Linked DNA regions of Daphnia pulex. The protein of the gene in region 1 purifies or fractionates together with the protein of each later gene. This does not show direct contact. Links are inferred from orthologs where the notes say so. Each region holds a gene or a part of one and is shown in the gene's direction. Other genes may lie near its edges.

Region 1 (5,766 bases):
GCGGCCGCTTGTGGCTAGAGCAAACCCTACACTGCGCGATGAGGCTCTCGTCCGACTTCCGGCCCGTGTAACCGATATTGAGCGGTCCGTGCGCTCTCGAGATCTCCCCCCCCCCCCCCCCCCCCCCCCCCCCACGTCAGCTCCTATTCCGGCTTGCCAGGACTGGCTGCTTTTGCGGGACTCCCGACAGCACGGACATGCGCAGCAGACGGATGCTGTGCAGCCGGTCCGATAGAGTTTCGAGGAGCTCAGGAGCAGCAGCAGACGAGTTGCTGATTGTTTGTTTTTTTCTTCTTCTTCGGCTCCTTGTGTGTATAAGGAGAACGGCTCCTTACGTTTATCCATGTCTCTATACATTTCCCCCCCTCCATCCACCTCCTTTCGTCTCTCTCCATCTTCTTCTGCTGCCGTTAGCAGAAGGGGCGGCTAGGCTATAACATGAGCGGGATTGATTGGCTCAGCGGCGTATATATAAGGAGCAGTAGGGAGGGGGAGGGGGAAGGATCTTCGATCGGTTCCCGAATCTCTCGGGTGAGGAAGAACGACAAAGGGATGGAGGGAAGAGAAGCTTGTTCACCCAAGAAAGGGGGAGAGAAAGGCAAAGAAAAACAAACTAAAGAAGAAGGAAGGAAACGGGAGAAAATGGAAAATCTATGCTGCTGCTACTGCTGCTGGTTGAAGAAGAAGAGGAAGCAGAAGAGAGTGGTACCGACTTTGATAAGGCTCAACAAAAGCTTGTTTTGCGCTTTCCCCCCCTCTTCTTTTGATATGTGCGACAGTCGAGCACCAGAGTCTGTTTATTCATCATCAAACCGACGACGAGTGAGTGCGTGAAAATGAGAAGGAAACGACCATCAAGATTACGCCAGTGCCTTTTGTTGATTCGCCCTATTCAAACTTTGGTCTATATGTTTTTTTTTTTTTGCGGATTCAAACCCTCCACACACGGGATACATGTAGCCCTTTCATGGCGAAACAGATTTTTGATTATTATTTATATATGCTTCCTCCAAGTGTTAACATCGCCATCAATCCATCAGTATCACGTATACACACATAATAGTCTTTGGGGTCTATCTGGATTTAGGCTTTCTGATCCGCCCGAAAATTTATCGTGGCATCAGTAATGACGTTCATGCCAATGAGCTCTTGTTCTACTTTGAAGTATTATCGACCCAGTGCCGATTTTCTAGCCAAATGTTTGTTTATTTTTTAAACAAATGTGCTCGATTATTAGCCGTTTCTTTATTAAAATGAAATGTCAAATGCCAGCTATGATCCGATTGAACTGGAATAATATACCAACTCGGGAGGGATTTCGTCAGAGCTCCAGGCCTCGGGATCACTGACCCACGTGAAAGTTGCGCTCTACTTTATTTGAATTTTTTTCTCAAATAGAGTCTAATGTGCTTTCAGACTACGTCAATCAAATTTTTTTTTTTTTTTTTTTAGATTTGGTAGACACTGGCGGGCGCTGGCGGTTATCTGGCTTAAATCGCTGGTTATTAATTAGCAAGCATATACTCTTGTACATTTGCATAATCACAATATCTTCAAGTGTATGTGCGTAATTATATCTTTTCTCTTTTTATTCGGGGATCCTATTAAGTCAGCTTGGAAACTTTAAATCTTCCTCCTGTCAATTCCTTCTTGTCAGACCAGTCTTGTTTTCTCCATTTAGATTTACGCCATAAACAAAAAAAAGGATCTCGCGCGGCTTTCTCCCATTTCACTGCTGGCATATACCAGCCATAAAAAGCCTTTTCTTTATATTTATTCTATTTGAAAAACTTTGATAAAAATAAAGTTATGCATCATTTTCAAAGAGCTTTAAATTACCCAACTTATTACGCATTTGCCAAGTTAAAGTTCATCATTTAAATGAATTCACAGAAAGTAGAAACGTTTTAGAAATGATGTGCGGATCTAATGGCGGCGAAATGAGGTATTAATGTATCAACACGAACCCACAATACGTCCTACTCTTTAACAAGACCATTTATCACGCTTTCTTCTTCTTTGTACGTACTGCGCACTGACGCTAACTAGGTTAAGCAACTCGGTATTCACGGCTGTTTTTACGGATGAGAGGGACGCTCGGGTTGCTTGACCGCATTAAGTAAAGTGCGCTGGTATAACAGGCTACCGCACAACCGAGTGTAAACGACACTTTGATGAGGAAATTACTTGTCAACGCGCAAAACCCACCTCTGCAGCTGTTGTCGATTGTTCGGTGAACATAAAGGTCTATAAAAAAACGACAGAGAAACACGTTGAGATATGTGAATGAAGCGAAACAGGAGGACGGATGCCTTCTGTCTAAAACGTACATTTCAAGTGGCTTTCGTGAATCGTATAGCGTGATGGAATTCGCCAGGAAATATTTAATAATCAAACAGTTGTTGTTCCATAAGTTGATAAAACTCGTCTTCTCAGTTATTGCGGGCTCTGACGCACAAAGGGGAGATTGATATGATTGGTTAAAACATGTGAAACTATTTCGTCTCTATTGCGTTCTGTTTGTTTTGCTATCGATCTGCAGGGCAACTGCATATAATATGGCAAGTTCGCCACAAAGAAAACCGCTTACTTAGACGTGTTCATATTGCTTTTATTGTAAAAAGAAAAGCTCTCAAAAACAAATAGAAGACATCTTCGTTATTTATTACATTTTTTTTTTCAGATTTCCATAATATTACTTTCACGTGCACGACTTTCTTCATGAGCATTGCAACATGTTTTTGCTTGACATCTTTTTCGAAAATCCGAGAACCCATCAGGATTCATTATAATTTTCTAGTAAGTATCGTAATAATAAGATAGAAACCCGAAGAAAATTTCTCTTTAAGCGCGTGAATTTACACAAACACATTTTATGGAGCAAGCTAACAATTATGAAAGCCGTGTAGGCCTTACTTAATAGGGAATATAATAGCCCTTTCACTTTCCCAGTGGTCAATGCACCTGGGATAAAGACGATTTTTCTTGAAGTAATAATGCCGTAGTATTGAAGTAATAAAAACGAAATGTGCCATAAAGAAATTGCTTGTTAAATCCAGTAAAATAAAAATCCTAAAAAGAATAGTAATTTGAATAATGGCAACCAGCATATCATTATCGATTGAAATAATCGATAAATAGGCGTCGTCTGCTACGTAGGGGTTGTCAAGAAAAACATCATGGCCTCAGTAGCAGTTTCTAAAGATTCTCTTGAATCGGTAAGAAAATGATTTGACTTAAGAATTTATAGCTTAACGTGTTGCCAATTTCTAGTAGTTAAAGTAACTGAAATTATTTTAGGACTCTGACATTCACATTACATTGGAAGACCAACAGAAAATCAACCGGTTTGCACGACACAATGCAAAATGGGAGGAGCTCAGGGATGATCTGAAAAATAAAAAGGTGAAATTCTTTCTATTGCATGCTTCTTTTCGTAATGTGTGTGAAGTCTTCAAAATTATTATGTGTCATAAATGTGCTGGCAGAAATATTTTCGCATTCTGCTCATGATTCACGTTGAAACTTACAATTCTGCATTGCTACTCGTTTTCTCTATGCTTTGTTCAGGGAGATCTTCAAAACTTGGAGGATGCTTCAGATGATTTACTCTTGGTTGATGATGAATCAGCTCCAATTCCTTTCGTTGTAGGTGAAGTGTTTGTTCATTTCAACATGGAAGAGGCAAAGGTGATTTTCTTTTTTCCTCTTCTGTCAATTGTGCATCGCTGTTAAAGTACTGCTTATCGCTAATTGTTTGACTTATCACAGGAGAAACTTGAAGAAGCAAAAGACAAAGTGAAAAAAGATATTGAAGCCATCGAAGCTGAATGCACAAACATCAAGACTTTGATGAGCGATCTGAAGACGCAATTGTACGCCAAATTCGGTAATTCTATCAACCTAGAAGCCGAAGAGGAATAAAGAAAACGTCCAAAATGCTTTCTCCACTATAATAATGAAGAACAATACAAAAAAGAAAAAAACAGTCTTTGATAGCACTGACAGAAACAAATTGTCTCTCAAGCCACAAAGAGAAAAGTAAACAACAAAGCTAAAGAAAGTATTTTTAGCTAGTTTCCCTAACACTAAAAATATCTGCGAAGAAAATGTAACGCTTGACTTGCACCTCCGCAACGACGCCTCTGCATCTGGCTACCACTCGGTACCTCTTTAGTTTCGTAGAGGCCATTCACCGGACGGTTTTCCAGCCTTTCTCTCTCAGTCTCGAGCTCCACGACCTCGTAAAATAATCGATTGTTATTGCTTATGTATTCGTCCGTGTTAACCTCATTTGGACACGACCTGCAGAGAGGACTATCGTTGATACTACCCAATAGGTTCAGAAGAATACCAATCGGAAATTGTCACTTGACTGACCCAGTGACTTAGTTTTCTCGGCTGTCCATCACATGGCCGGTTTTTCATCATCCGGATCGTGCACGTTCATAAAGTCCTCCCTTCCCGTTATTGTGCTCATTACATCCGTTCGACGGTGGGTTTGCGAAGCTTGTCACGTCATGACCGTGCCGCCGCTCACTTTTCCCCTGGTCGAGAGGAAAACCCGCATCGTCCCCCCTCCGGCTGCAGATGGTAGACACGAAGTTTTTAAGCAAACAAACAAAAGAAACGAATGAATCTACAGGACAGGACGGAATATTCCTCTGCTTCTAAAAGCAATTGAAGAAAAAAGAATGAGAAGGAAAAACTTGTAACTAGGCCAAGGTTCGTTGGTACACGTTTTTGTTATAAGCTATTTTCAACTTGGGAATCATGAGAAACTTTTAGGGTACCTTCACGTTATTTCAAAAAGAGGGGGGGGGAACGACGATGCGTATGGCACTTTTGCGTTCACTTTCTTTCTTCTAGAGTTAAAAAAAAGAAGAGCCCCCAGATGCCTTTATTGCTTTGTTTTCCGAGCTGCGATGTACACAACAGACAGGAAAAGGTGTGGATACTCTACACCATATCTCTCATCTTTCTGTCATCATCTCCAAGGGTAAGTGAAGTGTTTTTAATTTCAGAGAAATAGCACACCACTTGGCCGATTTATATTTCCATCACACAATCGAGGCTGCTGGGTATTTTTCCAAGAGGGAGTATGATTGGTGTTGTGTAAGTTTCTTGTGTGTCAAAGGACTTGAAAAAAAGAAATAACAAGGTGGCAACGCTTGACACCGATACGTGCTGGCCATGACTTGCCTCCTACATGTACGACGTCCGAGCGGTTGTTGGCTTCAAACAAAAACAAGGACACGTGTTGCCAGTAAAACGAAACTTGTATTTTTGGTTGTTTGTATTTTCTTTTTTTATTTAATAAATTTTTGTTTACAGTTTTATTGTAGAAGGAAAACCCGACAAATAATTGGCAAAGTATCGAATTTGGGGAAATATTCAACGGAATCACCGCATGTTGGAAAAGGTTCGAATGGTACACTGGTCGCGGATCATCAGGTGGTTCGATGAACTCGAGCGAAAAAAACAAAAAGACATCGAGTTGTGTTGCGGAAGAAATGGGAAACGATCGAGGAAAAACGAGCGCATGGCAAAATTGAATACCAGTTCACCTCGGCTATATTTTTTGGAGCGGAATAAAACACCCGTAGTGGCGGGACGTTTTTTTTTTTATCTTTTTGGGGTGGACCAACAAATTGAGAAACTGGACAGTATCCGGCGAAGATGGGTTTTCCATTTTTGAATTTCTACATTCTCACCGCGTATTGGCACTTCTTACACGAGCTACTTCTTTCTCTATTCCACTTTTTA
Region 2 (3,162 bases), on another chromosome or scaffold:
TGATCAATGCATGATACATTTGATCAGCCGTTCCTTCGAAAAACCTACCACATCCTCCTTGAAAGAGAGTATCACCTAATATTGAAGAAACAATATTGAAAATATTTACTCATTTAACCACTAGAATATTTTCAAAGTTTTACTCACCAGTGAATACTGCTGATTGTCCATTGACACTGCTTGAGGGCAAATAATAACAAATATGCCCAGAAGTGTGGCATGGTGTAAATAGACATTGAATTTCTAGGTTTCCAACCTGAAGTTTATCTCCATGAGAAACCTTCTTATTCAACGCTCCAATACGGTTATCTCCACCATATACTGCAAGCCCAGGAACAAGTTTTACTAATTCTTCATTGCCACCTGCATGATCCCTGTCATTAAAAACAAAATCCCAAACATTTAAATTAAAAATTTACTATACTAATGATAAAACAAACCAATGATGATGAGTAGTAAGAACAGTGGTCAATTTCACATTTTCCTGATTTACAATTTCAACCACTTTGCTAGGGTTTACTGGGTCTACAATTGCAGCTTCATTTGAGCTCTCATCCACCAACTATAGTTTAAGTATGAAATGTATTTTACATGTGATAAGCCGAATCCAAAAAGTTTGCATACCAAATACATGTAGTTATCTTGCAAAGCTGGAATGATATGGACTTTCATCTTTGAGTCAATACAAGTTTTGAGCTGGCTGTGACTTCTTGAACCAAGGGCTCTCCAAGCAGAAACTACAAAGAATAATTTTTAAGAAAATGTTCAATTTGTTGACAAAATAATGTTCAAATAAAAACTGTAGACGTACAGCGAAAATATGCCGCAGTTAACGCTTGCAAACACGATTCAGGTAGAAGACGAACTAGAGTATTCATCTGTTTTGTTGTTTTTGAGCCACTTGCCGATAGCTCTTTCTCACAGAGCAGTCGACAGACAGTGTTAACACGTTAAACACTGAAATTGCGCTTGATTGATTAATGATTATCAGTTTTGAATCAAACTCTAATATTCAAGATATCATGCAGAACAGTTACAATAAAATAAAAGGTAACAAAATTACTGAAGACAGAGAAACAATACAAAATTTGGTTCTTTTGATTTTGTTCGTCAATTTTGGCAATGGGGCAAATGAATAGCAGACGATACAACAGCAAACAAGAACAATCTCTTCAAACTTTCAAACTAAACAAAAAGATTGTGCCATGGATTTCGAAAAGACACAACAGTTGATACTTCAAACTGAAGCTGCTGCCCAAGAGATTTTTATCACCAGAGACGAGATAGTAGCATTGGATTTCAAGCGCCAAAAAACACGGGAAGCTTTTCGGGCTTTGAAAAATGGCTTGGAACCTAGTGAAAAGGCATGGGTGTCGATTGGAAACATATTCGTAAAAATAAGGACGTCCAAGGCGCAAAACTTGTTGGAACGAGGTATTTAAAATTAGCATTTAAATTTCAACAAAATTAATTCAAATTGTCGCCTTTCTCCTGCAGAGTTAAAAGAGGTTGATCAAGAGATATCTGAACATCGCAACAAGCTTAAAGAACAAGTGAAACATTTGAGAGATCTTGAAGGGAAACCAGAACTGAAAGGGTTTGATTTAAAACCAATATCTAAAGAAGCTGAGATTATAATGCAAGCACTTTCTAAGTGAAGTCTGAATATCATCAATAAATTATTTTCTGTGATTAATAATTTCTCTTATATCCTCTGAGTTTTCCTCTCCATTTTGGTTACCTTGTTCGAGATATAATGTTGATGACACATTTTGAATTAGGCATAATTGAGACACCATGTCAGGATCCAAATAATTCATGAACTTTGGAACAGTTGCTTTCATCCCATTCAAAGTTTGGAGGGCTTCATTGTGCATTTGGTGATCAACATAAAGTTGGAAAATAGCAGAGTAAACATTTCCTGGTTTCAAAATGCCTAAATCCATGCTAGATGATTGTAAGATACTTTCAAACTGAGAAATTCCTTGTAGGTTTGTGGCAGACATTTTTCTGATGTTAATGAACTGCTCCAGAAAAGCCATTTTCATATAAAGTGCTTTAGATCTTGTTGATTGACTACTTTCAGGAGTTTTGGACATAATTTTGTGCGCTTCTTTCAATGCGTTCATTGCGTTGTCGTAGCTTTGGTATTCATCAACCTCGGCCTAATAATAAGAACACATTGCCGTATCTATTTAGTTTTTAGATAAATAATAAGTTAATAACCAATAATTAATTTACAAACCTGTGCACAGGCTTCATAAAAGCCGACAAGGAGATCGGGCGATCTAGCTTTCGTGTAGAAGGTCACAATGTGTTTGACGTATTCCGGGTGGGAGCGCCAGTCGAGGGTTTGTAAATAGTTTCCAGCAAGTATATAAATATCAGGCTGCCTAGACACGTTTGCGAAGAAGACAATTCGATCTGTATCGCCTGATTTTAAGAGAGCTTTCATCGCTTGATACTAGATACAAATTTCCCATTAGTTAAAGAAATCAAACAAAAAAATAAAAACCAAAGATCAATTACTTTATCTCCTGCTTGAGTAAACTTCTTTGCCGCTAACTGGTAGTCACCCTGGCGTTGAGCAACTTCAGCCAGTTGAGTCAGCAATCGGCTGTTATTTTCCCCATTTACGAGTTGATCGGCCAACGCTTCTGTCAACGTGACATTGTATTTCAAACACATGTCAACTGCATCGGAATTCTGTAAAATAAATTCCCTTTCAGACTTAGATTCAGACGTAGAAAATATCGAGATTCTAATCTTACCTTTCCTGCCATGGCAAGCAAATCTACAGCTGCATCATAATGGCGATGACTTGCTAAATAATCAGCACAACGTTGCAGTGATGCAGGATTCGAGTTTTTGTCCAAACGTCGAGCTAATTCTAATACAGCTTCATGCTGTTCCGTTCTTTGAAGGGCGCAAGAAAAATAAGCCAAACATTCACTTGTTATACATTTCATGCAAGATATTACCTAGAAGCCAAATCGAGGGCAGTATCAAGAAGTCCAGCTTTACTGTACAGCATGACTGCTCGATCGAATCTCGGTTGGCGATCGCTGTTAGCCGATGAACCTTCAAAATAACGTGCAGCTTCAATCATTTCTTCTTGTTCGCCCAGCATGGCGTATCGGTACAGCTGGTCATCCAGTTCGT

Evidence for each region. Proteins that work in one complex are often made in the same cells at the same time.
Region 2: the proteins of prefoldin subunit 4-like (region 1) and p53 and DNA damage-regulated protein 1-like purify together in Homo sapiens (co-immunoprecipitation; 3 studies listed by BioGRID and IntAct, counting the BioPlex papers as one, with this or other methods). This does not show direct contact. The link is inferred for Daphnia pulex from reciprocal best matches to the Homo sapiens genes PFDN4 and PDRG1.

Annotation. Positions count from the first base shown.
Region 1 is NC_060022.1:3,650,139-3,655,904, forward strand, and holds prefoldin subunit 4-like, read left to right. Parts: upstream 1-3,065; 5' UTR 3,066-3,179; coding exon 3,180-3,218; intron 3,219-3,300; coding exon 3,301-3,405; intron 3,406-3,570; coding exon 3,571-3,720; intron 3,721-3,771; coding exon 3,772-3,924; downstream 3,925-5,766. UniProt on the Homo sapiens protein: Binds specifically to cytosolic chaperonin (c-CPN) and transfers target proteins to it. Binds to nascent polypeptide chain and promotes folding in an environment in which there are many competing pathways for nonnative proteins.
Region 2 is NC_060023.1:8,880,396-8,883,557, forward strand, and holds p53 and DNA damage-regulated protein 1-like, read left to right. Parts: upstream 1-1,205; coding exon 1,206-1,434; exon of another isoform or gene 1,435-1,497; coding exon 1,498-1,658; 3' UTR 1,659-1,679; downstream 1,680-3,162. Other genes in the region: hydroxyacylglutathione hydrolase, mitochondrial-like, read right to left, coding at 1-75, 148-374, 441-562, 625-737, 812-878; intraflagellar transport protein 140 homolog, read right to left, coding at 1,680-2,165, 2,246-2,464, 2,530-2,706, 2,772-2,916, 2,982-3,162. UniProt on the Homo sapiens protein: May play a role in chaperone-mediated protein folding.